4 linked regions of the Pelodiscus sinensis genome follow. The protein of the gene in region 4 interacts with the protein of the main gene of each other region in a pairwise test. Links are inferred from orthologs where the notes say so. Each region holds a gene or a part of one and is shown on either strand. Other genes may lie near its edges.

Region 1 (7,011 bases), on a different chromosome or scaffold from region 4:
CTTTGAGTCTCGGGTTAACCTCTTCACCGGCAGGTGGGGGAGTGTTTTCGTTTGGAAGATCTGCTCTTCCTCAAGCTGCCTCCCCCCAAACGAAATATGACAAAAAGCACCATAATTACCATTGCTCCGTCTCATTCCGGCAAAGCTAAGCCCCCGATTCGGAAATTCTGGACTCAACCGAGTTGCGGGGGGAGGGGGGAGGGAAGAGGAGGTGGGGGCTGTGAGCCGGAGGGGGAGGAGGGGACAAGGAGGAGGGAAGGTAGAAATTTTAAAGGGAGGAGAAAGGGGGGGAGGAATGGGGGTGCTTGCTTGGGGGAGTTCTCGCTTGTGGAGGGAATAGGGAATTTTTTAAAAATGGGGGGCAGGAAGGATGGAAATAGGGGAGGGGCGGAAGGAGGCTGGAGCTGGAGGTGTGGGGCACAGCGTGATGGATCTGTAGAACCCCAATACTCTAACTGAGAAACCCCGCGGCAGGTCAAAATAAATATATTTCCCAAACGGCCCCTCCAGAAAAAAAAAGACAAACAGAGGGAGGAAGGAAGGAAGGAAGGAAGAAAACCCAGAGAGAGGGAGAGGAGCGGCAGAAAGGGGGGGAGGGCTTTGCGGTGCTGGCAGCGGCGCCAAGATGCCAAGTTAGCTGCGGGTCCCTCCGCCCGGGCGGAGGGCGAGCGCAGGCCTAGGGGAAGGGGCGGACGCCGCGCTGGAACCGACTGTGCTCCGCCGCTGGCAGGACCCAAAGTGCTCAGGCGTTGGGGCTGGGTTTTGTTTTGGTTTTGGGGGGTTTTGTTGTTGTTTTCCTCCCTTCCACCCCCCTTTTCCCTTTTCCATCCGAAACTCGCTCGCTCGCTCCTTTCATGCTCGGTCCCCAACCATTCGCCTGTGCCAATGCCAGCGAAAGAGAGAGGAAGGATTCACGTATTTGGCAAGCAGACACATTTCCAGACCAGCCAATGGCTGCATCAAAGCGAAAGGGAGGCGGGGGGGAGGGTTGGCGGAGCAGAAACTGGGGGGGTTGGATTGGGGGGGGCCGGTGGCACAGAGACTGTGCAGTTAAGAGACTGAAAACAATTTGCCAAATCGACAAGTTTATATCTAATGAATAAGCAAAGTCCAGCCACGATTCATTTTTTTTCCTCGGGCGCTGGATGTTCGGAGTGCGGGAGACTGGCACAAAATTGCTAAATAAATAAAAAACTCCATTCTCCACCCCCCCACCCCCACCCCCACCCCAACAACCAAAAAAAACCCAACCCAGGCAGTCCCACAAGGCCTTGGAAAAAGCAGCTGTTCTCTCTTTCCCTGTCCCTCGTTCCCGCATTCTCTCTCTCTCTGTCTATTTATAAAAAAGGACAGAAGATTTCGTTCCAAATCTGCACCTCCCCCCTCCCCCCCCCCACACACGGTTCAGATTAAAGCCGCGGAGACTTTTTTCTAAGCGGCAGAATCGTCAGTTTCAAACCCTGCCCATTCCCAACCGCACAGAAAAACACCATCACGGCAAAGATTTTTTTTTTTTTGCCTCCTAACCGAGGGCCCAATTCGACAGTCATCAAGGATTTGCCCCAGGCCTCCCGGCCTGGCCTGTCCCTGCCAACTTGGGTGATTCTTTTTTCCAAACAAAAATGTTTTAAAAAAAGAGATGCCGACTGACTTCCCGCCTCCCCCTGATCCCCGCGGGTAAGCGCTAGAATGGGTGGCAACGCGGCTTGCCAATGTTAGCACACAGACCCGGTCGCTAAAGGGGCCGATTGACTTTTTTTAAAATATCCTAGGAAGCCAAAAAAAAAAATCTTATTTTGGGGGACGGACAAAGGGGTGCGAAGTTAGGATACTTTTAAAGTCCCCTTCTCCAGGCGAGCCCTCCCGACACTGCCTCTGTGCAAAGCATGACTATTTATTTTTCGGCTATTGTCCGTGCCGCACGCTCAGCTGCATCGAGTAGAAAACCCGACAGCGAAAGCAGGAGAAAGTGGGAGAGAAAGGGAGGAAGGGGAGCCAGGAAAGGCGAGAAAAAGGGGATGAGAGAGGAGGAAGGAGAGAAAGAAAAGGGGGTGGGAGGGAGGGAAGGGAAGGGGGAAACCCGCGGCCCGAGAAGGGACTGAAAAGAGAAAGGAAACAGGAAGACGGAGGAAGTGGAGGAGAGAAGGAGAAGGGGGAAGGAGAGAGGAGAGAACGCCAGGGGAGAAAGCGGCCCTGACTTGCAGGCATTTCTGGCTGTACCCCCGGCAGCCCGCGGCTGAGAAATCCCGGCTTTCCAGGGGCGCAGAGCCGAGGCAAGGGGGACTGAAATGGCAGCTTTTACCCAAAGCGGGAGGACTGGTCCCGACCCCCCAGCCATGCCCCCAATCTGCCCATCCAGGCACTTACGCGCCCGCCGTCGCCGTAGTACCGCAGCATCCCTACCCGCCGGGAGCCCTGCGCCCAGGTGCCGGCTGGCCTGGCCGAGCTGCGGCGATCGGGAGCGCGGGCCCGGCCCACCGGCTAGCCTGCCGCGGCTCTATCCCCGACGCCCGCAGGCAGGCCCAGGCCCTGCTGCCAGCTCTCCAGCTCCCGAGCAGGCTGCCAAGGAAGCGCGAGCGGGGATGGTGGGGGAGGGCCGAGGTGGGGGGCGACGGCTGTCATTTCCCCGGCTCCCCCCCGCCCCCAATCCCAAACCTAGCCACAGCCCAGGCGAGCAGGGCTGTGCTGTCCCCAGGCTCCGATCCGCCCCTTGCACACCGCGCACGAGGAAGCCACGGTTCCCCACTGCCCTCCGCTGCTCGGGGCCGTTCGGGCCTGCCTGCATTTATACCTGTGGCCAGCCCCGTCCGGGGGGCACGCCCCACGGGGAGCCACACAAAGGTGACTGGTCCCCCCCCGCACCACCCCCCCCCCGCTTTGTTAGGGGAGACAAAATACCTGTGCCTGCCTGCTCTCCTCCATCCGCGAGGCGGGGGAGGGAATTTGGACTGGTGCCATGAAGGCACGAAAGCCGAGTCCAGGGGGTGGGGGGGGAAGTTGCAAAGAAAAGGGAGAGCGGAGAGAGAGAGAGAAGAAAAAAGTGAAAGTGAAAGAGGAAGGGGGAAGACGAGGGAGGGAGGATTCGCTCCCAGAAGGGACGATTCGGAGTTCGAGTCTCCAGGGTTTAGACCCGAAGGCTGAACTTTCACTTTCGGCGAGGGATTTGCTTGTGGGGGGATCCTTCCCCGCCCCCGGGATGGTTCCCATAAGGAAACAACGACCGTTCCGATCCAAACCACACGCAGACGGGCAGCGGGTAGCGGGCACCCCGGAGGAGGGCAGGGCGCCGGCACACGGGGGGTTTTGGGGGGACCATCAAATGGAAACGAAACAGCTGGGGGGAGCGCGCTGGAACTACAAAGTCAGAAGGGGGGGCCGCAGGGGGAAGGCGAACACCCAGGCAAGGGGAAAGGCAGCGGAAGCGCGTGGAGGGCAAGGCCACCGCGGGGAGGGAGGAGAGAGGGAAAAGCAAATGGGGAACAGGGTTAAAGCGGGTTTTCGGAGGGTGCTCAGGTGGGCTTGCTGCAAATCGCCGCCTGCTCGAGCAACGGTGGGACTGGGCCCAGGCGGGCAGGGCTGGCACCCACAGGGCTGGCCAGGGCCCCCCTTCGAGTGAGTCCGGGAGAGCACCAAGCCGCCACGCGCCGGGAACAGGCCGGCTCCATGCGGCAGGAGCCGGGCAGGCGAATGCGCGGCGGCGGCTGCTCTCCCTGTGGGCTCTGCCCATCCTCCGGCCGCACGGGAGCCCGGCGGCAGAGATACCAACGCACCTGTCTGAGCACAGTCCCATCCCCGGCCCACGGCTGAGCTGGGCCCGAGGGACACCGTCTTCCCACGAGGGTGGGGGGGCACCCACGAGGGGGCAGTACACCATGGCCAGGCAGGGCTCTCGAGCGGCGGGCCGGGGCGCTGGGTTCTGTGCACCAGCGCCCGGCAGCGAGAGCCGCAGGGGGCGGTGGATCAGACGTGCCCCTCGCCGGGACGGCAAAGCAACAGAGCCGAAGCGACTGGAAAGGAGGAAGGCCCGGGCGGGATTTCGGGGGGAAGAGAAGGCCTGGGGAGGAGGCCGAGGCGGGCAGGGAGGAAAGAGAAACGCAGGGAAAATCACCCGACTGCGCACCCAGACCTGGCCGGGTGCCTGTGCCCGTCTGGCTGGCCATGCCCCCGCAGGCCGGGCCCCTGACATGCAGACACACTGGGGTGGGGGCTGCACCCCCAGCGGAGCCCATCGCGCACCTGCCGAACCTGGAATCCGTTCACTCGGTGGGATGTTTTTCAATCCGCTCCGAGGCCTGAGGGACAGTTGAGGAGCTTTCCTAACTCCAAGTCAAACTTTCCGACTCCTGATCTTATCTCCCCCCCCCCCACGCTTTTCATTTGGGGGCTCTCGTTTCCAGCAGCGGCGTGTCAAGCTTTCCCGGCGTTGCCATAGGAACAGGCCCTGGCACCCTGGCAAACTCTTGCCCTAGGGAATGAATAGCACATAACTGTCGCCGGCACCCGCCCGGGGCTTGCGCCTGTTGCGACAGGGAGAGAAGAAATCGGGGCCAAAGTTTTGCAGGCGCACGGGGGTTTGGCCGAGGAACGTGGCGTTCTTCCTCTCCCGTCTGCAGCGCACAACACCTGCCCCGGCCGGCCGGGGAAGGGGCACGGACAGTCTCTTCGACCGCCTTCCGGGGGCTCCGGGCTGGAATCTTTGTGCCTTGGTCTCCCCGCCCTGCGTGCACCCAGAGGCCGTGGCCTCCCCAGCTTAAAAGCGAACAAATCTTTTTCCTGCTCAGTCAGCCGCCAGCTTAGTGCAAAACCGGCCCTCCCCGAGCTCGGCTGGCACAGGCTGCGGGGACAGCATCTTTCTTTCTCTCCCCGCCTGCTCTGACCCTCCGCTTCCCCGGCGCTAGTCAAAAGCCAGAGTCTAGGACGAGGCGGCAGGGGCATTTCTATCCTCCCGATACGGACCCCCCCCCCGCACAAATATATCTCTAGGAAACCCCACGCATGCAAATATGCAGCCGTGCAATCATGATATCGCTCTGTTTTCTCTCGGCATTCTTCTGCTCCGACACAAAGTGTTTGCTTGCTACGATTTTCCCTCTCTGACCCGATTTAGTCCGCACAAGAGAAAACTGTGCAGCAGACTCAATGTCCTAACGAACTTGAGTTAATTAATGCTAAGAAAGAAAGAGGCTCCCCTCAGACACTTGAATCATGGTTCACTAGCTCTTTCAGTTTTCTATTTGCAAAAAAAAGGAGCCTGCATTCAAATATTTTTTCCTGTCTGAGCAGAGAACACAAACAACGCCGAGAGCTGTAGAAGGGGAAATAAAGTAGCGGCACAGGATAGATTTGTGCAGGGAGATCGGCAAATATAGCATCAAAGGAAAGGGCTGATTTGCAGGGGACTGAATGGTTTTTTTTTCCTCTGTGCAACTGTTGGCAACAGCGAAAAGCAACCGCCAAAGTGGAGGGGAAAGAGCGGCGGGTCCCACTGCCCCGTTTGCTCTAAACTTTAACAGAACAGTAAAGGATTTGAACGCCCAGCCAAGCGCGGGGCGGCAAACGTAGGGAAGAAGCCAGAGTTCTGGAAATGGCGCTGCACCCGAGTTTTGCAAAACCAACCCACCGGATTTCGGACGGAGGCAGAGTTTGGCTCGCCACCCGCTGGCCCCGGCTCTGCGTCCCACGCCCAGCCCAAACGCACGGCACCGCAGGATCGGGCCCCGCAGGCAGCAAGCTGACAAGTGACAGGGCTCCGTACGCGGCCGCTCGGGGCGGGGGGTCTCAAACCCGCCCAGGGGCACGCACACGTCTGGCTGCTCCCAGCGAGCCTGCGGCCAGCAGGAATCGCTCCCGGGGAGCTGAGGGAACCACCAGGCAGAAGGGAAATCGGAGGTTTCCGTGGCCTGGGACCCAATTCCCCGGAGCATCATCGCCACTTGGGCCCTGCCAGCAACCGGATAAAGGCGCCGAAGAAGTTTCCCCTGGCACCTGCAAAGGCTGCTATGGAAACCTGCCTTCGCCTCTCTGACCTCACAGAGGCAAGAACTGCAGCAAAGTGCCCCCAGCTAAGCCGCCTGTTGGGGGCTCTGGCTCTCGCTGCAGCCCACAGGACAGGCGGCTCTGAGCAGGGAGCGGCTGCAGGAAGCCCTGGGTGACTGTCGCAGGCCGCGGGAAGCCCTGTGCTAGCGACCAGCGAGAAGGAGTCTGCCTGACCCCTCCTCCGGCCCCAGTCAATGAAAGGCGCCGAGGGGGTGGAGAGGGACCCCAGTGCTGGGTGATCAGCGGGTTCTGTTGTGCCCAGAAGGGAAGAGTCATGGGCGTGCCAGGGCGGAGGAGGGCGTCCAGCATCAAAGCAGTAAGCCGGCTGCGGGCCAAGCTTGGGGAGCACTGGCCAAGCTGGCAAAGTGGGGCTCAGGATTGGAAGGACTGGGACGGGGGCGTGGGGCCCGGAGGTCAGGACTGAGGGACCCTGGCGGAGCTGGCACAGCAGCGGGTTCTCTAGGGCTCTGTCCACCCTTTGTCTCCACAAGCTCCCAAATTCACTCCCCCATTCGGGGGTGGGGGGCACCGCTGACGGGAAAATGCCGCCTGCGCCATCGCGACTTCTCACCACAAAACACGTTTCTTATTTATGTAAAAACGAAGCAAAGGAACCCGCTTGGCGAGTGGAAGCTCACAGCCACCACGAGGCATGGCGCTGGAAGGAAACATCTCCCCCAAATCTCTCCTTGGGGGGCGCAGGTGGCGAGAGCCAGGCCAGCACCTTTGAGAAGGGGGGGTCTTTGGGGAAACACAACAGCATTTTGCTGGTTCTTTGTGCTGCGCTCAGGAAAACCCGGGAGGTAGACGTCTCCCACCCACTGATGCAAGGAGGCAAAGCCGCCGGCGTAACCCCAGCCAAACCCGACGGATTTACACCAAAGGGCCTTCCTTTCTAGCCACTGCCAGCTTGCCGTCAGATTATGTTTTCTGATAAAAATACCCAGCAGGAGGCAAATATTCCAACGCCCCCCA
Region 2 (7,366 bases), on a different chromosome or scaffold from region 4:
AGATCCATGAATAATCCATATTCTCCCTCCATCAGCATAGGATTGGCTTAACACTTTACCCACTCTGGTCTGATGGGTCATTGCACTCCCAACGTTTTCCCATTGTTTTGCTGTAGTACCAGTCTCCCTCCTGACATTTCAGGCTGAAAGCACATCTCGATGGACTCCCCCCCTCCACCCTTCCCCTCCCAGGAGCGGCCTTTATGTAATTCTCTCCTATCCCTAGTATAACCCTCTTCCTTCCTTCCTGGGGGATGGGCAGGTGGTCAGAGCACTTACTGCTCTTGTCTCTGAATCAGCTCCTTAGCTGGAGTAAACCAGCACGGTTCTTTTCAAGTCAAGGGAGTGAAACTGGTTTAAAGCAGCTGAAGAGGCAGCCATGGTTCTTTTACTTTTCAGCTGTTCAGACCCAGAGCCGCATTATGACTTTCATGGGCCCTAGGCACTTTTGCCTTCGTGGGCTCCTTCCTCCATAAAAAAAATATATATTAAAAATTATTTTTGATATAACTTTAAATACTTCAACATTTTTTTTCTGTTTGAGGCAAAATGTAATAGATTTTCGTGGGCCCTAAAAGTTTCAATTTTTTCTGATGTGAGAAAAAAACTAAAACATTTTCTTCGACCCTAAAAGTTCATTTTTTTCCTTCTGATTTTAAAAGACATTAAAACATTTTCATGGGCCCCTAAAAGTATCGTGGGCCCTAGGCACTGTGCCTACTGGATAAGTCGCTTCCTTCCCCCTGGCGCTTGCTTAGCAGGGCTGTGGAAAGAGAATCTCATCAGGGATTTTTTCCCCCTCTGCCCACTTTGTTTTCCTGGTAACACGTTATTTTTAATGCTGCATTAATTGCAGGGGAAATCACAATAGAATTTTTATGGACGAGCTTATGGCCTCTTCATTCGGCACCAGCGAATTGGCTCTGTCATCAGTGTTATTGCTGGGGCTGCTAAATGAATTAATGATTAGACACAACGTAAAGAAAGGGTTCCCCCTCCCCCCAGGTTATTTCTTTTGTTGTTTCTACTCTGTTAACCTCTCCCTTTGTTTTCCAATTTTATGTTCGGTTTCCATCACCCTTCCCTGACTCCATTGCACAATGTATGTGCTTTTTCTCCTGGGTTGTTAATCCTGCCTTATTTTAAAACTTCCACTTAACTCTTTGCACTCATCTCTTTCCCAGCCCCCCTGCCTCCTGCTTTTCTTTTGGTCTAGTTGTCCTGCCCCTTTAAGACTTGCAACTGTTTGGGGACTGTAGAGGAGGGGCATTCCTGACTGGTGAATGCCCAAGGACTGTAATTAGACTTTGTCCCTTTAAAGGAATTCCCCTCCCACTTAGCCTCCCCTCCTGCACCCCAGGGTAGCATAAACTCTGAAATGATCCGTAATTAAAAGAATGAGCAAGGAGCCCAACCCTGCAAACCCTCACAGCAAGCAGGCTTGGGCCTACTGACACAGTGATACTCACACCCAAAACTTAAGTGTAGTTGCATATATATACAAATATATACTCAAATATATGCAAATAGCTTCTTTCACACTTTTGGGGGGGGGGGGGAGCCGAGTCTGCACAGGATAAACTTAAAAAACAACAAATGGTCTGGTAGCACTTTATAGACTAACAAAACATCTACGTGTTTCGTTAGTCTTTAAAGTGCTACCAGACTATTTGTTGTTTTTTAAGTTCTTTCACACTGACGGGCACAAATTCAAAGATTAGGGCAAGACTACACAACACACAGGCCCCATTTAAGTCAGTTCTGCTGATATTAATAAAATGCAATAATTACCTGATTTCCACCCTCATGACAGCACCAGGAATTTAACTCCTAAAACGAGTATCAACAGAAGACCATTCTATTGACTCCACTGGCTGCATTTTGAGCCCCGTGTAAAACCAAACTGCACTGTGGAGTGCAAACAAACAGGCTGCGTGTTGAGTGGCCCTGCTCTAGGCCCTGAATGCTGTCTCCCACTAGCAACAACTCCATTTTTAAGGACCTAGTTTTATTTCCATTCCCCTGTGTTCCTCTTTTCTGCGCTTCCCTTCCTTTTCCACTGGCCCCTCGCTCACCTGACACTTCCACAAAGCCATCCTTGGTTTTCACCGTCAGCTCCTCAGGTTTAAAGCTCTGCACGTTGACACACACCTTCCAGGGCTCCCCAGAGAAGGGAGCAGGACTCCGATCTTCAGGGTAACTGCCGAACCTGGAGCTGTACCCAGGAGGGGACATGCCAGGGGAGGCTCGGGCCATTCCTGACCGCAGTGGACCAGGCCATGTACTGGTCAGTCGCGGGCGAGCCCAGTCCAGCAAGTCTGCAGTCAGGTCCCCAGAGAAAGGGCACATGCCAAAGTCATCATCCAGGAGTCGAGAGGACAAGCCGGGCTCTCTGAAGCGGTCTCGGACACTTCGGTGCCTGGTGGGGTAATGGCAGGAAAAGGGCATCTGGCCATCAGCCATGATTTTATTCTATGGTAAATGCAACAGCAAGAGAGGATAAAATTCTTCCGACCTTATCCAGCTTCTGGTGCACCAGCTGCCCCAGGAAATGTCTGTGTTTGCTTTTCTGTTCCTGAGTGCCAAGCTTCAGTGGAAGAATTTCCCAAGAAAGATTTGTCCACTCCCCCAAACCAAGGAGAGAGGAACTGCTGTGCCTTGATTCTGACAGGCAGTTTATACCAGAATCCTCCTGCCCTCCAAAACAACAAAATTTAAAAAAAAAAATTAGAGCTGAATCATTCAAAGATTTAAAAATGCAGAAAGCAGTGAGAGGAGAGAACAAAGTTTCCTGTTTGTTTTAAATCCCACACAAGAGAAAGAGGAGGAGAGGGGGGAAAAAAAACCCAGATGAAAATCTCTTTGTGGGAATGAGAAACTTCCAAACTCGAGAGCCTTGTTTCTTCTTTCTTCCTGCTTCTTTATCTTCAGATCCCTGGCAGGAGCTTAAATAAATGTGTGTTCTCCAAGTCCAGAAACTTCTCTAACATTCCAGCCAGCTGGGAGCCTTCTATTTATATGGAGCTTGGGGAGAGTGGGAGGGGGAGGTTGTGCTTTGCAATTCTGGCCGTGTCAGCTGGGTATTTTGGAGAAGATGAAACACCCTTGGAGAATCTGTTGCGACAGCTGACCTCTCCCACTGGGCCGGGAACACTTACGTGGGGCAGCCAAGTTTAGGTAGCTTTCCTCACCTGCCACTCCCTCTGCTCTGCTCCCTCCCTGCCTGCCTCCTTAGCCTGAGGCTGCTACACTGCAGCCAACATGTTGCTAATAGCTTCAGGGCAGGCTACAGCTCTCTCCTGTCACCATGTTAAAATACCCACTGGCCCTAAATTTTAGCAGAGCCGTGGTGCGCCCAACACTGTAAGGACACCGGGAGCAGGGCCGGAGTGAGCCAGGCAGGGAGCGTGAGTCATTCCCGTGTGCTCTGTGCCTCTACGGGGTTGCATGATGATCTGTGGTTCTGCACGAGGATGGAGTGGGGTTTTACAGACGGTCCTGGTGCGCCAGAGCAGCAGGCTGACTCGGCCCTGGCAGTGACACCTAGGACTTACTGCTGTCAGGCTTAGAAGGCCAGTTCCCAGTTGTGAGCTAGATTGGACCCTGCTTTGCCCATGGCACCCTAAGCAGCAGGCAAGTGTGTGTGTGTGTGGGGGGGGCAGGTTGCCCACCATATGGAGCACCACTGGCTGGGGAGGGTTTGACCAGGGTGGCTGGTCTTTCCCGTTGACGTTCCCAAAGCAAGAAGCTGTGGGGCAGACCAGCATTTCCCCTCTCCTTGTGGCCCCCAGCCTCCCCACAGGGCTGCAGCAGGCAATGCCAGAGCAGGAGGGGAAACTGCATCCCACATCAGTGCTGTGGGGAGGTTTTGCACCCAGGCTCGTGGAGCACGGTGGATGGCTGGGTGCTGTCTAAACCCACTCAGGGCTGGGCCAGGCTCCGCTGCCCCCCTGCACTGCCTGGCCACGTGCAGGGAGGTTCCCAGTGCCAGCACGGGGCTGCCGTAGACACTGCTCTCCCAGGCAGCGCAGCAGGTGTCGGGGGGCTTGGGGTCACGCTCACCCCAGCTGCTGAACATTGACAGACCTGGGGGGAGGTGCTTTTCGCATCCCCCGCTGCAGCTCTGACGCTCGTGCCAGTCGCTACGGGTCTATAATTTCAGTATGCAGCAGGCCAAGCCAAGCAGACGCACGCCTCCATCCCCACGGGGCGTAGGGAATAATGACCAGCCCACGTCGCTCGCTCCTCCTCTTTCTCGCTGCTTTGAAGGCTGGCCAGGCTTTTCTCTGGGCCTCACCCAGCTCCCTTTGAAGTGCACAGAAACTCTCTTGGTGGCGTCCAGGGCTTGGACCCATCGCATTTGTTGAAACAGGCCTGGGCTGCCTTTGACCTTCACAGATCTTGCCAAAGCTCCAGCTGGGGCTGTCAGTAGCGCTGTGTGTGTGTGTGTGTGTGTGTGTGTGTGTGTGTGTGTGTGTGTGTGTGTGTGTGTGTGTGTGTGTGCGTGTGTGTGCGCGCGCGCTGAGTCAAAACAACACACTGTGCAGTGCTGCCCTCTGGGGCGGGGATAGCCCCACAGAGGCAATGGGAGAGGTAGGGAAATCATTCCCTACCCCTCCTTGCCCTTTGGCAGCTGAATTTTATTTCCCTAGTGCCATCCCCCCCCACCCCTCATGCGTCCCGAAAAGCCCGTTGTCCCCATGGAGATACCAAGGGCTGGCTTTTAAGGCCCTTCCTTTCAGAAATGGACCACTGGGCTTTATCGTGGCCCTGGGATCGCCGCTGTTGGGCAGTGGGGGCAGAGGACGTCTACGTGCTTGTGCGGAACCAGGTGAGATCACTGGCTCACAATAAGACAGAATGACTTCACTGGTGCCTTGGCAGGCTCCACGCCAGAGCAGCGCTGCCTTGCAGTCCTCCAGAGATGGTGCGTCTCCCAGGCCTCTAGAGGAATGCCCAGCTCACCCAGAATTAGCCTGTAGTTACAAAATGGCAGAGCGCTCCTTCCTGAAGAATTGAGGCTAAACAAGGCCTATTAGGTTACCCAGTGCACTCCCCTGCCAATGCTGTACCTCCACCTGCCCTACATCCTCTAATTTAGAACAGGCTGCTTCCCGGGAAGACCATTCCAGAGGCTATTCAGTGCGTGACAGCCACCTAGCCTGATATCCTTGCCTCAGTGTTCTGCTTCATTTCAGCCCATTACTATACCTCTTCCCTCCCTCATCCTCTGCCCCGACTCACTGATTAGCAGCCGTACCTGACAGTGGCGAGGTGGTGATGGTTCGGCTCTGAGGCCTCCCTCCAAACGTTACCTCAGCCTCAGACTAATCCCAGGGTGCGGGACTTGTGAAGGTGTGAAAGTGTGGAAGGAGCAGGGGGCTAGGAGCCAGGAAGACATAGGGTTGCCAGATGGTTTAACCAAAAATACCGAACACACACACACACAAAACCCAATGGAAAAAAAATTCTGTTGAGAAAAAAGAAGGGGGAGGCCAAACTTGTTGAGCAAAAAAAAAAATTAAACATTAAAAATTAAAAATCAGCATGGCCCCTTTAAGAAGAGGCTTTTTTTTGCCAGTGGCCATTTTGTTTTTCTGTTCCAGCCATAAGACAAGCCCCTGCAGAACCAGGTAAGCGGGGGAGTTTCTGAGGGGGCCTGGCAAGAGGTCAGGGGACTGGGACCAGTTGCTGAGTGTGTTGTAGGGTTGCCAGGTGTCCAGTATTTTCGCCTCCTGGCAGGGAAAAAACCCCACAAAAATACCGGACATTTTAGGTGTCCAGTATTTTCTGAATTTTTTTAATGGACAGGAGGTGAAAATACCAGACTGTTCGGGTGAATACCGGACATTTGGCAACCTAGGCAGACACTTCCCGGTGGTGCCAGCTCAGCATTGTGCAGCTTCTGGCCTTGTCACTCGATCGCCTCTAGAGCAAGAATTAAGTTCTTTGCACTGAAATCAGCCGATAGAGCGTTTCCAGAGGAGTTTTGAGAGGGCACTGGGCACAAGCTAGATCCTGCAGCAGAATGAAGTCACAAGGCCTGACTGCCTGTTATGGTTCAACTGCTTTGTTTCCAAGAGGAATACACCACTGCCTCTGTCCTCAGCCCCTTGCCTGTTGGGGGCCTCTCCCATCATTCAAAAGTGTCGCCTCCCTTCCACCTAGGGACCCAAGGCCATAGGGCTAATGCACAGAAGTGCAGCTTAAACTATCGTGACATTGACGCTGTCAGCCAGGCCTGGTCTGTACTTGACAGCGCACTTTGGGAAGCCATGGTGAGCAATGGGATTCCCCGGGTGAGGTTACCTGCCGGGGACCACAGTGGCTGAGTTGTAAAGAGCAGACGCAGACTGCAATCCTTTCCTTGGCCTTAGGCACTTCAAGTGACAAGGCCTGCCAGGTGCACAGCCGTCTCTTTAGCCACTCATGAGCAGTGTTGTCTTCAAGTCATTGTTGTCAAGTCCAAGTCGAGTCTCAAGTCACTACAGTTCAAGTCTCAAGTTGAGTCTCGAGCCCCTAACGTCACTTTCGAGTCAAGTCCCAAGTCAAGTCTCAAGTCTTAATTTAAAAAATGTCAAGTCACTTTTGTACAAGCCATCAATATTGGCATTTTCGGACAATTTTTTCACCAAGTCGATTTAACAAAATTAGCAAGTCTCAAGTCGAGTGTCAAGTCACAAACAATGAGCCCGAGTCAAGTCTCAAGTCGAGTCACCTAGATGACTTAAATCGGAATCAAGTTCAAGTCGTGGGACTCGAGTCAACAACTCTGCTCATGAGCAACACAGCAACCCCCTCTGTCACAACAGAGACCAAGGGACAAGAAAAGCCTCCTAGGCCTTGAGGTGTCCTTTGGCAACCAGTGGAATTGCCGAGGCAGGAAGGGGCTGGTTAAGGGAGGAAGGGTGTCAGACTCAGGCCCCTTGCCAAGCAATGGTTAGGTCCTGGTTTCCATCCCACACCCCTCCCAATCTTTTAACACTAATGACTATTGTTACGTATCTTTCAAGCACAGGAGCACTCTGCAGACATGCAAGGAGTTCCCTTCGGACCCAGTCACTGAAGTTAGGCCTTGGTTTAAACACCTATCGAATCAGGAATTGGGATGTCACCTTGCGAGAGGGATCTGGGTGACAGTTAACTGGCAGCAATGACAGTGGCGAAGGGAAAGTGGTGCTGTTTCGGAAGGGCAGGCATTTGGATGACGGTGTCCTCACCACTAGGCATTGGGGGGCAAATGCTCCTGTTGGATGGGCTGGGCACAAATCAACTTCAGGCTTTGAAAAATCACCTTGGCTCTTCTCTGCTCCAGGAGAAACTCAGCCAGGTCGGAGGTGCTCGTCCTATAGCTGGAGCCAGCATC
Region 3 (7,631 bases), on a different chromosome or scaffold from region 4:
GCAGTGCCATGGATGAGCCTTACCACCATTGTGATCATAGTATCACTCCTCCAAAGTAAGAATGTGAGCAAAAACATATTAACTTCATTGATTTATAGTCAGGACTATCACCCAACATACTTAGCTTCATGTTAATTCTGATCAATTGCTCCTAGCAATCTGATCAAACAGACTGGGACTCTTAGCCATGGTGATATTGTTACACAGCTCACTAGAAGTAGCAAGCCCTTTGAAATATATAAACTAGACGTTATACAGTAAATCAAAGATGATGTACCAAATTTCACTACACATACAAAACTGATTTCAGAGGCAGGTCAACTGGGGTAGAGAATAAGGATGTTAAGTAACGATTAATTGACTAGTCGAATAGTTGATGGAATTGTCGATAGGCACTTCTGCATTCCTCCTCTGAAATGTACAAGAGCCCCCGCTGGGGCTCTTCTACATTTCAAAGGAGGAATGCGGAAATCCTCATGCAGCCTGGAGACAGCGGGAAGTCACGCTGACTCCAGGCTATGCCAGCTTTGAAATGTACAAGAGTCCCCAGTGGGGGGCTCTTGTGCCTTTCAAATTGGCAGTGCAGCATGGAGCCTGGAGTCTGACCCCGGGCTCCATGCTGTACTACCAATTTGAAATGCCATGCAGCTGGGGACTCCCTAGCTGACTGCAGGTTCCACACAGCATTTCCTGAGAACCCGGGATCAGCTGGGGAGTCCCCAGCTGATCCCAGGCTTCACACAATACAGCGCACAGCCGATCCTGGGCTCAGCTATGCAGCACTGCCCCTTTGAACGCCGCCTCAGCTATCTGATAGAGGCAGGAAGAGGGGGAAATCAATGAGTTGACTAACTATCCAAAAAGCATTTGCTTATTGGACAGTCAACTAGTCCTTAACATCCCTAGTAGGGAATACTACATAAAAATAGAAGGAAGTTTTGTCCACTGAGGCTAGTGTTACTCATTGTACTGCAAGTATCAGAAGGGTAGCTATTAGCCTATATCTGCAAAAACAAAATGAGGCCTGTGGCACCTTAAAGACTAACAGTTTATTTGGGCATAAATAACTTCCTATATGCCCTTGCCCACAAAAGCTTATACCCAAATAGACGTTAGGCTTTAAGATGCCACTGGAACCCCTCATTGTTGATTATACTGCAGTAGCCCCCAAAAGCCACCATCAGGATCATTAGTCCATGTGTAAACAGAACCAGCGATGACCCTTGCCTACGGGCTCTGCAACACGTAACACCAGTAGTGAGAACACGAGTGGTGGGACAGCAAGAGTGACAAATTCCAGTTCTGATGAGGGACACAGGCACTAGTATCTGAACAAAGCTCACAAGGCCTTGGTCACTGAAGGCTTTGCATTAAGGTGCATGAATTATACAGAGCTGAATCAATACCCTAACCCAGTGGTTCCCAACCTGTGGTCTGCAGACCCCGGGGGGTTCACAGCGATACTGTAAGGGGTCTGCATGGAACTCCTCACAGACAGTACGTCCTACAACCCACACAGCTTCCCCAGTGGGCTCAGGGACGCCACTCAGGAAGGAGCATGGGCTGAAGGACATGCAGGCACAGATATATTGTTTGGGGGGGGGGGAGGGGTCCGTAAATTTTTAATAGATTGAAAAGTGGTCTGGGTCCTCGAAAAGATTGGGTGCCACTGCCCTAGTCTGTGGCTTGAATCCACAGTGACAATGGCATTCAGTTCCACTCCTGCAGCCCTGGACCACAAGCTGTCACTGCCAGAACAGCAGCCAAGCACCCCACCTGAATAGATCCAGCCATCCCCAGTATCCCCAGAACAGGCCTGGCCCTGGAAGTGGCTGGCAGAGCAGCCCTTCAAGCCTGACATCCCCGGATCCCTTCTAAGCTTCATAAGTAGCCTACCCATCCCCCAGCTGCCAGGGCCCAGTGCCTCCCCACAATCAAAAGCCCAGTCCCCCATAACCCTCCTCATTTACCCAACAACCCACGAGTGGAGCCACCCCACAACCCTCCTAAACTACCCCATAACCCCGAAGTATCCCATGTCATCCCCCCTCACCCGCCATCAATCCCAAGCAGCCCTGAGGATGGTCCCGACCCCATGAGCCTCGCACCACATCCCCAGCAGCCCCTAAACTGGCCCTGCCCCCATGAACCTCCCATCCTACCCCCAGCAGCACACAAGTTGGCCCTGCCACCCTATAACCCCCCCCCCCCAAACTGGCCCAGTCCCCCATGAACCCCCCCCTCCACGAGCTGGCCCAGCCTCCCCATTGCTCCCCCCCGGCTCCCCCCCCCCGAGAGCTGCTTCCCCTCCCCCCCGGCTGCCCCCCCATCTCCGCTCCCCCCCGGCTCCCCTCCCCCTGCGAGCTGCTCCCCCCGAAAGCTGCTTCCCCTCCCCCCTGGCTGCCCCCCCAACTCCGCTCCCCCCCCCCGGCTCCCCCCCGAGAGCTGCTTCCCCTCCCCCCCGGCTGCCCCCCCACCTCCACTCCCCCCCAGCTCCCCCCCCCGAGAGCTGCTTCCCCTCCCCCCCGGCTGCCCCCCCAACTCCGCTCCCCCCCCCGGCTCCCCCCCGAGAGCTGCTTCCCCTCCCCCCCGGCTGCCCCCCCACCTCCGCTCCCCCCCAGCTCCCCCCCCGAGAGCTGCTTCCCCTCCCCCCCGGCTGCCCCCCCACCTCCGCTCCCCTCCCCCCACGAGCTGGCCCAGCCCCCAGGGTTCCCGCCAGTCAAGTTCAGGCCCTGCCCCCACCCCCGGCTTGGGGCCTCCGGCCGCGGCCTGGCGCTTGGTCCGCGGTGGGCGCCGGGCCCCGCTCACCCCGCCAGCGAGCCGCCGCTGAAGAGGCAGGGAACGGCCGTGTGGCGCCCGGCGCCGCCGAACTCCTCCGCTGCGCGAACCTTGTACGCAAACTGCGTAAACGCCGCACCACAGGTCATTGGGGGAGGGGAGGGGGGAGCTACGCAAACTCCGTAACGTGAAAGCTGCCGGCTACGCAGCGCCGCGAGAGCTCCGCAGAAGCAGCGCGGGAAACGGGGAGGAGCGACCCGAAGCGCTGTCCTGCGCAAGCGTCGTACGTCAGGGGCGGTGTTCCACCAATGACGTAGCAAGACCATAGAGAGCGCCGCCACAGGCACCGGCCCGCTGCTGACCCCTAGCGTCAGCTCCCTGAGCTTGCCCTGCAGAAGGGAAACCCCCAGAAGTTGGTCCCAATAAAGATATTAAGTCCCCCAGTTTGTCTCTCTAATCATGTTCCTGCAGGAGAAGATCTATGAGCGGGAGAGAGAAGAGGAACCATAGGCTCAGAGTAATTAACAGTACAGTTGTGACTAGGAGTTTAATTACAAAGAGGCTTCCCAAACCTTCAACATATTAAACACCAGGGCTGTCTACGTTGGCATCCTTTCAAGTAGGAATAAGGGATCTTCTGGAAAAGGGTTTATTTTCCACACTATCGCGTCTAGACTGGTGCTTTTCTCCGGCAAAACCCCGAGCTGGAAAAAAGCAGCAGCCATGTTCATGCAAATGCCACGGGGGATATTTAAATCCCTGCAGAATTTGCAATTCCGGAGTGTCTCATTAGCATCCCTTTTCCGGAAAAGGGTGCCAATGAAGACGTAACCCAGGGCTGTGTCTAGACTGGCAAGTTTTTCCGCAAAAAGCTGTCTACACTGGCCACTTGAATTTCCGCAAGAACACTGACTTCCTACTGTCTGAAATCAGTGCTTCTTGCAAAAATACTATGCTGCTCCCGTTCGGGCAAAAGTGCTTTTGCACAAAGCTTTTGCGCAAAAGGGCAGTGTAGACAGCTCAGATTTGTTTTGCGCAAAAAAGCCCTCATCGTGAAAATGGCGATCGGGGCTTTTTTGCAGAAAAGTGCGTCTAGATTGGCACGGACGCTTTTCCGCAAAAAGTGCTTTTTTGGAAAAGTGTCCGTTGCAATCTAGACGCGCTTTTCCGCAAATGCTTTTAATGGAAAACTTTTCCGTTAAAAGCATTTGCGGAAAATCATGCCAGTTTACGCGTAGCCCAGGACTGTGCCTCACCCATTGTCATACAGGCCTTGCCAGCGTGACTCCAGGTCCTAGGATATGACTGGTTCAAAAATCCTGGAACCTGCTTTCACAGTGACACAAGAAGCTCCTCCAGGGCAGCAGAAGACAAGGAGTGTCAGGGAAGTGCTGCCCAGGCTTAGGGCGGTGAGGTTGTATCTACATGGCACCGTAACTCAAAATAAGATACGCAATTTGAGCTACGCAAAATGCATATCTTATTTCCATGCTATTTCAGAATACAGCATGATTCCGAAACGTCCCTTACTCCTGGTAGAAAGAGGTTTATAGGAACGTCAGAATAGTGAGCCTATGAACATACCAGGCTTTCTGTGAAGATGCGGAATAGCTATTTTGGGATACTCCGCTATCCCAAAATAGCGTTGCAGTGTAGATGTAGCTTGAGTGGGGGCCTGGGGAAGTGCTGCTGAGCCCTGGACAGACCATGATTTTTGATCCCTTGAAATGGACAATACAGGTGACCCCTAATGTACGACCTCCCGACTCAGGACACCTCGCATAGACGACTGCCCTGCTCCAGCCCTGCTCCTGCACAGTGAGCCACAGAGTCAGCCAGTTGCCCACAGCCCTGACGGGCACTGGGCACAACTCACACCACGCCACTGGCTCCAGGACACGTGAAGCCGCCTCCACCCGGACAGCTCTGGGAGCAGCTTGCAAGCTTGCACAGTGCTGTCTCCACACAGCATAGCCCCCAGCTGGCTCTAGGAGCAGCTCGCACCGTGCTGCCTCCACCCAACATAGTCCTTGGCACTGGCTCTGGGACACGTGGAGCCACCTCCACTTGGCACAACCCCTGGCTGTCTCTGGGCCTGGCGTGCTGGGGACTACAACTCCCAGGAGGCAAAGCGGGCCAGGAACGGACCCCCCCCCCCATTTATATCATTGTGCCTCTGGGAAATAAGGGTTCGACTTACAACAGCTCAACTTACGATGGTTCGCCAGGAACCAATTAGGTTGTAAATATGAGAGTCGCCTGTACTGCAAACATCCCTTTTTTTCCAGGCCCTGTTGGTTGTTTGATCCTGATTTTTGTATCTACCCACTGGCAAACTGGCTACCTAAAAGAGCCACTGAGCAGCTAAGCTAGCAACTCTGGGGCCCTTCCACTAGGATTCTCATGTGTGGGAATCTTGCTGCTGTCTCCATTTCCAAGCCCCCAGTGCTCTGCAATCAATTCCTAGAGCCATCCCTCTCCCACACACATAGCTAATCCATTGGAATACTAGCAAAAGTGGCGGGGCAGGAGGAGGCTGCCGTGCTGTGAAGGAAAAACTGCATTTCACCCTCTGATGCAGACTTCCTTGAGACTGACCAAACTACACCCTTAGTTACGCCCCATGGCAGATGCCCTGGGTTTCAGTTTGCAGATCTGGGAGGCAGGAGTAGCTTGGTGATCTCAGCAGCAACACAATGATACAGAAGTGATTCCCTGTGCTCCTTATCCTACTCTTCCTTTTTCACCTTGTGCAATATTCTGCACCAGCAGTGTGGGGGGAATCAAGCTTTTTGTGCATGTAAAGCACATGGGTGTTATGTCATCTGTTAGTGGCTGGCCCACAGGAAGGACAAGGGCCTTACTTTTACAGCTAGCAAGGGGAGATGTCCTTGAATAGACAGGTCTGTGTTTTTGGAGAAGACCTTGAGCCTTGTTCAGCTGAACTGGTATGTGTGATTTGTCTTGCACTGGTGTGGTGGTGCTTGCTAAAGGTGGATTCGTTACAAGCTTCCACCCAGTTTAATAAATGCGTGGTGCAAAACTCATTGGGATCACAAATATACCTTGCACAATATTATCTCAAAAACTCCCTGGGATGAAAAAGGTGTCCAAAAAAGATGTACAATGTCTGCCTCCAGCCAGGGATGGATATAGGGCAGGGCGAACGGGGCAGCCGCCCCAGGCCCCGCGCTTCAGAAAGCCCCGCGCATGCGCTGTGGCAAAGGGGGGGCCCCGCGGAATTATGCTGCCCGGGGCCCCGCAAAACAGTCATCTGCCCCTGCCTCCAGCTTTGACTTCTCAGGCCAGCTAATGAGAGGAAAATAGCTTCAGTCTTTGAAAAGGGAACAAAACCATATTTTTAAGTCACTGGAATGAATAAAAACAAAATAAATTCTGTTCCTTGTTTTCTCTTGGGTTTTTTAAAATAATATTTTATTGTAATATAATATCCCCCAACTCATCTTAGGGATGCTTGAAAAATGAAGACATACTAAATGTCGTAGCTTCTTCAAACTCATTTGAGAAGAATTCTTTGAGTACTGAGGGAGAGAAACTATGCCCAGAATATCTTTGTACAGGGGTGGATTGTGGGGTCATGGATCAGAACAAGTGGGGGCGTCTTCCACCTGTACTTGGAAGCCCCTGTACCTCAACCCTGTTCCCCAGCAGGAACGCCAGGTGGGTGGGTGGGTGCCCATTTTTCCAGGGGTCCTCCAACTGACCAAGGCAACTGGGCACAGGCCCCATTATTCCACTGGTTAATCTACCCCTGTCTTCACAATATAGAATACATGAACCCATCCTTGTTTGTGCTATCAGCAGGTTTTCTTTTAAACAGCATCTAGTAAGTTCTTCAATCTATTTTTCAACACAAGCACACATAGGAACACCTGTTACACTATTTCAAACTATATAGAGTAGGTTTTGGCCTTACTCCGACATGGTTCTGTAACTTTGCCACGTGGTCTTATTTTGGGCCTAATCCAAAACCCACTGAACTCAACTGGAAACTTCCCAGTAACTCAGATGAGCACTGGAGCATGTCTCAGGTATGTGTTATATGAAACAGTATCAAATTACATTGGGGTATTACATAAGAACATAAGACCGGCCATACTGAGTCAGACCAAAGGTCCATCTAGCTCAGTATCCTGTCTGCCGAAACTGGCCAATGCCTGATGCCCCAGAGGGAGTGAACAGAACAGGGAATCTTCAAGTAATCCCTCTCCTGTAACCATTCCCAGCCTCTGACAGAGGCTAGGGACACCATTCCTATCCATCCTGGCTAATATCCATTGATGGACCTAACCTCCATGAATTTATCTAGTTCTTTCTTGGACCCTGTTAAAGTCCTGGTCTTCACAACCTCCTCTGGCAAGGAGTTCCACAGGCCAACCGTGCGCTGAGTGAAGAAAAACTTCCTTTTGTTTGTTTTAAACCTGCTACTTATTAATGTCATATGGTGACCCCTAATTCTTATATTGTGGGTACAAGTAAATAACTTTGCCTTATTCACTTTTTCCCTACCAGTTACGAATTTATAGACTTACAAGCTGGTTCCCCCCAGCACCGTCTCTGCGGGGATGGAGGGGGGGAGGGCGGGGAGGCAGAGGCGCAGTGGTGGAAATGGTGTGAGCAGGGCCTGAAGCAGTCTCCACTCACCTGGGGTCCCGACTGCTGCGCCTCATCCTTTGAAATGTACAAGAGCCTGCAGTGGCTCTTGTACATTTCAAAGGCAGAGGTGCAGCAGGATAGCAAGTGCCCCCCTTATTGACTAATCAAGTAGTCAATGGAAATTCCATCGACTATTCGATTAGCCAATTAATCGAAATTTAACATCCCTCAAGGGA
Region 4 (6,946 bases):
CCCACTGAAGTCTAGGGGCTTGAGAACCAAGCTTCATTCTGCCAGTTCCAACACCTGGGAAGTAGAACAAGTGCTGGGATCCCATCTGACTGTCCCTTGATCTCAGTCAGCTTGTGACTAGCAGTCAGGTGAAATCAGAAGCTCACTCTTAGTTCTCTCAGTTTGCTGGAAGGAAACTTTCCTTTTTCCCTCCCTCCCAGTCCCCCAAACAACTGTTCTAAGTTTCTACACTGCATTGATCACTGGAGCATAGGAGCCAATACACGGATTTCTGTAATGCATAGGAGCTTTAGTCAGGGACCAGGACGCTGATGTTAGGCACTGTACAACCAGAATGAGGATGGTCCTACACTGAAGAGCAGAGGAGTGTCTGCTTTTCTCTCTCAATGTTCTGGGAAACTGGAGAAGAGGCAGACTGAAATCGCAAGTGTCCCAGTCTTAGAGTCTCCCCAGTTTTTTAAATGAGAAAGTGATTTTTTTTTAATGTATATAGTTAACTCAACTGCTGTTTAATCTAACCCAACTCAAGGCTACCTACAGAGAAATATGGAACTGCAGTCGTTAAACTGATCAGCTCTAGTTTCATTATTCTGCTGCTTGGGAAAAATATGAGCAACAGTGGAAGTATTAGTGCTTGTTACAGAAACATGTTCTAAAGTCTTCTTTTTCCTTTGTAATGAGCATAAGTTTAAAAACAAATTGCAGAAAGTAAGAGCTACAACACCCTCTCGTCCACAACCTCACTCAGGCATGTTTACTACTCAGCACGAACATAGATTTTTATTTTTTAAAATAAAAACCTCTAAAGATTTCCAAGCCCACACTCAATATACTTTGAATGCAAAGTTAGTATTGCATTCGACGGTAAAACACATTTTCTAGTAGAATGTACACAAGTTTATATTGGCAGGCAGGCATCTTTACCATTATCTATTAAAATATCAGACTGGATCTGTTTATGCACTCAGTTTATCCATTATGTACAGCTCATTTAAAAATGAGGCAAATACTCATTGCTGCTAAAACTTGGCAGAATGCATCTTTCTTTACACTGTTCTGCAAAGTTTGCTGCTTGGATACATGGATATAATTCCTGCCTTCTCAGCTTAATTGCTTTTTCCACTAAATAGGGTCCGAAAAGTAGTCCAACCTAATGAGCACATGTGGTTAATTCATAAAACCTAGAGACTCAAGATACTGAAAATGTACACACACATTTGCAGCAGGTGGGCTATCTGGACTCACCAGTCACCATGTTGCAGGTATTTCTGCTGCACTTGTCTTGAGCTCTTAGACTGGTAACATTCTGGAGAAGACAGAACAAAGAAGCTCTTTCTATCCCCAGGGGTTTTGGTTTTAGTTAAATGTTATTTTTAAAAGAGACTTAATAAAACACACAAGATGAATAGAGTCGTAGTAATATTACACCCTTAACAATTAGACAGACATTACCAGACATGCCCAATTCCTAACCATTTTTTTCAACTTCCAGATCTTAAGAATATGTATGAAGACAGACAGTTCTCCATGTACATCTTTTTGCGCAGTGCAAAATGTTCTTCTGTGACAAAAGTTATACAAGTTCCAGTACATATAACAGGCACTGGAGTTATTGAAACTTAGAACAAGACATCAATGGAAAAAATATTAGAGTTCTTTTCTTGCTCCTTTCTCCTCACAAGCATTTAAGGTGGAGCAGAGTAACTATGCAGAGCTGGGGACCAAGAGTCCAAATAAGGCTCTTGGAGGACTCAACAAAAAACTCAAAAAGGGGGAAGAAACCAGCACACACGAAGGCACTGTGTTAAACGGAGAGAAGACCAAGCTCCGCGCTCAGCCGTTCCAAGACGTTTTAAGGCCTCCGATTGTCGGCACAAATATCTCTTTTTCTTCCTGCAGCTCTCACACAACTGAACAGACTTGATTAGCCCTTCCCTGAGCCACGCACCCCTCTGCAAAACCGAGCACGGCTTCGTGCAAGCCAGTGAAACTTTGAGACCACCGGAGCCTGACAAGCCAGGTGCGTGCGGAGAGGCTTTCCGGTGACCGCGCGCAGGTCTCCGCGGACACGAGGCGGCTTAGGAAGCGGGGCGGGGAGGGGGTCCCGAAGAGCTCTCGCTGCACGTGAGCGGCCTCGACCCCCGCTGTGTCCCCACGGGGAGACTCCCGGGCCGGGCGCCGCCAGGCTGCGGTGGCGCAGGGGTGGCCCGCAGCGCGGCGGGAGGCTTCCGAGAGGCCGGAGCGACTGCGGGGCCGCCGCGCTGCTGCCCGGCTCCCGGCCAAAGCCCGAGCGAAGCGCCCGGCCCGCGGGCCGGACCCGCCTCGGCCGCGGCCTTCTCGCGCACGGGCAGCCCGGCAGAGCGGCACCCGCCCGCGCCGGGGACAGGGCGAGCCCGCGGGGCGGGGGAGGGGCCCGCCGCCCTACAGGCCCGGGGGGGCAGCCCCAGGGAGGCGAGCGCGCCCCCGCCCCACGCCGGGAGCGCGCGGGCCCGCGCGCGTGGCCGGCAGCAGCCGCGCACAGGAAGGTGCCGCCCCGCGGCGGGGGGAAGGGACACGGGGGCGCGCCCCACCTCGCGCGGGAGAGGAACAGGCCTGGCGCGGGCACGCGCCGTCTCGCTCCGCTGCGCGCTCCCGGCAACGCCACACAACAAACGGGCCCGCGCCGGAACCCGCGGGAGCGCGCCGCCCCCGGAACCGCCGCCGCCGCCTCCCCCCTGGAAGGGGAGGCCCCGCCCGGCCCAGCCCGCCGCCGCCCGGCCCAGCCCGCTCCGCCGCCGCTCGGCCGGGCCCGCCCCGCCTCACCCTGGCCCCGCCGCCGCCTCGCTCCGCCACCGCCTCGGCCCGACTCCTTCCCCTCACAGCTCCCTGGGCGCCATCTTACATTCAACCCCCGCAGCCAATCAGCGCTCGGCCCCGGCCTCGCGAGAGCGCGGCCGCCAAGCCCCGCGAGAGCTCCGCGCCGGAGCCGCCCCGCGCCTTAAAGGCGCCGTGCGCAGCCCCGCCCCTTGGCCGGCCCAGAGTCCACAGGAGGCCCCGCCCCCGGGGCCCAGCCTGTCCTAGAGCCCCGCCCCCCGGCCGGCCCAGGGCCCGGCGCTGCACAGCCACCCTGGCCGCCCCCGGCCCCGCCCCCATGGCCACTGGCGCCAGGCTCCCGGCGTGCTGGAACCCCCCGGGGCATCGCAAACCCGCAGCCCCCGGCGCGCGCCGGCCTGTGCCCCCCGGAGCCCCCGCGCCCCCCGGAGCCCCCGCGCCCCCCAGAGCCCGCGGGCCAGCCTGTGCCCCACAGATCCCCTGTGCCCCCCGGAGCCCCTGTGCCCCCCAGAGCCCGCGGGCCAGCCTGTGCCCCACAGATCCCCTGTGCCCCCCGGAGCCCCTGTGCCCCCCAGAGCCCGCGGGCCAGCCTGTGCCCCACAGATCCCCTGTGCCCCCCAGAGCCCCCGCGCCCCCCCCGGAGCCCCTGTGCCCCCCAGAGCCCGCGGGCCAGCCTGTGCCCCCCAGAGCCCCCGCGCCCCCCCCGGAGCCCCTGTGCCCCCCAGAGCCCGCGGGCCGGCCTGTGCCCCCCAGAGCCCCTGTGCCCCCCCAGAGCCCGCGGGCCGGCCTGTGCCCCCCGGAGCCCCCGCGCCCCCCAGAGCCCCCACGCCCCCCCAGAGCCCCTGTGCCCCTCGGAGCCCCCGCGCCCCCCCAGAGCCCCCGTGCCCCTCAGAGCCCCCGCGCCCCCCCCAGAACCCCCGTGCCCCTCAGAGCCCCCACGCCCCCCCGGAGCCCCTGTGCCCCCCCAGAGCCCCCGCGCCCCCCCAGAGCCCCTGTGCCCCTCAGAGCCCCCGCGCCCCCCCAGAGCCCCCGTGCCCCTCAGAGCCCCCGCGCCCCCCCAGAGCCCCTGTGCCCCCCGGAGCCCCTGTGCCCCCCCAGAGCCCCCGCGCCCCTCAGAGCCCCCGCGCCCCCCCAGAGCCCCCGTGCCCCTCAGAGCCCCCGCGCCCCCCCAGAGCCCCTGTGCCCCTCAGAGCCCCTGCGCCCCCCGGAGCCCCTGTGCCCCCCCAGAGCCCCTGTGCCCCTCAGAGCCCCCGCGCCCCCCCAGAGCCCCCGCGCCCCCCAGAGCCCCCGCGCCCCCCCGGAGCCCCGCAGAGCCCACGTGCCGGCCTGTGCCCCCCGGAGCCCCCGCGCCCCCCCAGAGCCCCCACGCCCCCCAGAGCCCGCGTGCCGGCCTGTGCCCCCCAGATCCCCTGTGCCCCCCGGAGCCCCCCAGCCCCCTGGAGTCCCCCAGAGCCCGTGGGCCAGCCTACGCCCCCCAGAGCCCACGGGCCGGCCTGCACCCCCCAGAGCCCCCGCGCCCCCCAGAACCCCCGAGAGCCCGTGGGCCGGCCTGCACCCCCCAGAACCGCCAAGAGCCCGTGGGCCGGCCTGCCGCCAGGCACTCCAGGCTGGAGCTCTCCAGCGAGGCCACACAGGGCTCCTCGGGGAGCCCTCGCAAGTGCCCAGCGAGAATTCTGGCAGCCACGAGAGTAGCTGCCAAGGGAAGCGGGGCAGGAAGGGGGCTGGCCAGGCAAGGCCCCGGAAGAGGACAGAGGCAGGAGATTACTGGGTCGCACATGAGAGACACAGCAGCTCTGGCTGCACTCAGGCGCAGGGAGTCAGACCAGGAGCTGCAGACATAAGGCCGATGGGGCTTGGATGCTGCAGCCCCAGCTCCAGCAGAAGCAGCCAGGATAGTGGCAAGGCTTGGAGAGCTGCCGAGCCCATCTGAGCCGCAGGATCATGGATTTCACGCTCGCCGTCAATCCAACACCCCCCTGACGGCGCAAAGCCAGGAGCCTGGGCGGGAGGGCGCGACCCGGAGAGACGCTAGGCCCTTCCAAAAGCAAACACTGGGCGTGTCACTCGGGGGTGGCTGGGCAGTGACTGGCCTGCCCTCGGCTCGCACTGCTGAGCTCTTTGCCAGAGCGGGAGCAGCACACCCAGGCACTGCCAGGGGCTTGTCCCTAAGGTGGGCCCCTCTCAGGGCTGACCCCCTCTGTCTGCTCAGCTGGGCCCCACGTGGGCGACATGCATCACCTGGCCGTGCCCGGCAACTCCCATGTTCTCCCTTTGCCCCCTGGCTCTAGGAGCAGTCCCCAGTCCCCGGGGGCAGCAGGCTGCCTCCAGCAGGCCAGGCCTCACCTTCCATAGTGCCACATGTGAGCTGGGGCGTGTGGACCGCTTGGGGGAAGGCTAATTACACAGAGGGATTTGATTGGTCCAAGTGTCCCCCCCAAGCTACAGGGCAGCCAGGCGGGGAGAGGGGGCGGAGTTGTTTGTTACCCCACTGAACACACAGCCACATCCAACACAGGGCCAGTGGGGGAGACACGGCAGCCCAGGGGTTAAGAGAAAAGTGATTCCTTCAGCACCATGGACTTACACCAGGGCTCCCGCTGGCCCTTGCTGGGCACCTGCTCTGTGGTCTCCTGCCAACCCTTTGCTGCGCACTCAGGACAGGCGTGGCCCCAGCAGGCCACGAGGGCCAGTCTGGGTCCGTGTGCATTGGCTTGGCGAATGGAGCTGTACGGGCCCTGCGCCAGCCCAGGGTCTCCTGATCCAGGCACACAAGCCGCTAAACGGATTCTCCCGGGCAGCCCTCCCTCCGGCAGAGCTGTCGGCCACACTCTCCACAGCGAGGAGAGTACCTGGCAGCGCCCCAACCCCCACTGCGCGCTGCACGACGTGGCAGCCCTCGCCTGGGCGGGAAACCAGCCCCCACCCCTCCTCGCCAGCACAGGGTCGCTGGCTGGGCGAGCTGAAAGCGGGGGCTGGACTGTTGCTGGCGGAAGGCAACGAAGGGGCAGGCGTCTGCCCGACCCACCGGAGGCTGCCACAGCCAGCGGCCACTCCAGGACTGGTGGAAGTTCCAGGCGGGAGCCCCAACCCTCCCCGCCCTGTGCCCATTCACTCCCCACAGGCCCCGCCAGGGCCCACTGGCAGCAGCTGGGCAGCGAGAGCCATGGAGCCAATGTGCCTGGGAAACCGGGAGGTGACTCCGTGGTGGCGGTGAGCTGCCCCCGGGCCCACGCAGCCGCTCCGTCCCCCCACCACTGTCCCCCCCGGGCCCACGCAGCCGCTCCGTCCCCCCACCACTGTCCCCCCCGGGCCCACGCAGCCGCTCCGTCCCCCTACCACTGACCCCCCCGGGCCCACGCAGCCGCTCCGTCCCCCTACCACTGACCCCCCCGGGCCCACGCAGCCGCTCCGTCCCCCTACCACTGACCCCCCCGGGCCCACGCAGCCGCTCCGTCCCCCCACCACTGTCCCCCCCGGGCCCACGCAGCCGCTCCGTCCCCCCCCACTGTCCCCCCCGGGCCCACGCAGGCGCTCCGTCCCCCCACCACTGTCCCCCCCGGGCCCACGCAGCCGCTCCGTCCCCCCACCACTGTCCCCCCCGGGCCCACGCAGCCGCTCCGTCCCCCTACCACTGACCCCCCCGGGCCCACGCAGCCGCTCCGTCCCCCCACCACTGTCCCCCCCGGGCCCACGCAGCCGCTCCGTCCCCCCCCACTGTCCCCCCCGGGCCCACGCAGGCGCTCCGTCCCCCCACCACTGTCCCCCCCGGGCCCACGCAGCCGCTCCGTCCCCCTACCACTGACCCCCCCGGGCCCACGCAGCCGCTCCGTCCCCCCACCACTGTACCCCCCGGGCCCACGCAGCCGCTCCGTCCCCCCACCACTGTCCCCCCCGGGCCCACGCAGCCGCTCCGTCCCCCACCACTGTCCCCCCCGGGCCCACGCAGCCGCTCCGTCCCCCCCCACTGTCCCCCCCGGGCCCACGCAGCCGTTCCGTCCCCCCCACTGTCCCCCCCGGGCCCACGCAGCCGTTCCGTCCCCCCCACTGTCCCCCCCGGGCCCACGCAGCCGCTCCGTCCCCCACCACTGTCCCCCCCCCGGGCCCACGCAGCCGCTCCGTCCCCCTACCACTGACC

The links.
Region 1: the proteins of QRICH1 (region 4) and NFIX interact in binary tests that used the Homo sapiens proteins (3 or more experiments, as listed by UniProt). The two-hybrid records come from large-scale screens. The link is inferred for Pelodiscus sinensis from reciprocal best matches to the Homo sapiens genes QRICH1 and NFIX.
Region 2: the proteins of QRICH1 (region 4) and HSPB8 interact in binary tests that used the Homo sapiens proteins (3 or more experiments, as listed by UniProt). The two-hybrid records come from large-scale screens. The link is inferred for Pelodiscus sinensis from reciprocal best matches to the Homo sapiens genes QRICH1 and HSPB8.
Region 3: the proteins of QRICH1 (region 4) and RBM17 interact in binary tests that used the Homo sapiens proteins (3 or more experiments, as listed by UniProt). The two-hybrid records come from large-scale screens. The link is inferred for Pelodiscus sinensis from reciprocal best matches to the Homo sapiens genes QRICH1 and RBM17.

The regions. Positions count from the first base shown.
Region 1 is NC_134729.1:12,880,119-12,887,129, forward strand, and holds the start of NFIX (nuclear factor 1 X-type), read right to left. Parts: upstream 3,010-7,011; 5' UTR 2,959-3,009; coding exon 2,899-2,958; intron 2,721-2,898; exon of another isoform or gene 2,398-2,720; coding exon of another isoform or gene 2,368-2,397; intron 279-2,367; exon of another isoform or gene 123-278; coding exon of another isoform or gene 120-122; intron 1-119.
Region 2 is NC_134725.1:10,137,243-10,144,608, forward strand, and holds the start of HSPB8 (heat shock protein beta-8), read right to left. Parts: upstream 3,001-7,366; 5' UTR 2,464-3,000; coding exon 2,076-2,463; intron 1-2,075. UniProt on the Homo sapiens protein: Involved in the chaperone-assisted selective autophagy (CASA), a crucial process for protein quality control, particularly in mechanical strained cells and tissues such as muscle. Displays temperature-dependent chaperone activity.
Region 3 is NC_134711.1:8,475,608-8,483,238, reverse strand, and holds the start of RBM17 (splicing factor 45), read right to left. Parts: upstream 3,015-7,631; 5' UTR 2,928-3,014; coding exon 2,809-2,927; exon of another isoform or gene 2,743-2,808; intron 1-2,742. UniProt on the Homo sapiens protein: Splice factor that binds to the single-stranded 3'AG at the exon/intron border and promotes its utilization in the second catalytic step. Involved in the regulation of alternative splicing and the utilization of cryptic splice sites.
Region 4 is NC_134721.1:6,957-13,902, reverse strand, and holds the start of QRICH1 (transcriptional regulator QRICH1), read right to left. Parts: upstream 3,007-6,946; 5' UTR 2,882-3,006; exon of another isoform or gene 2,803-2,881; intron 1,307-2,802; exon of another isoform or gene 1,246-1,306; intron 1-1,245. UniProt on the Homo sapiens protein: Transcriptional regulator that acts as a mediator of the integrated stress response (ISR) through transcriptional control of protein homeostasis under conditions of ER stress.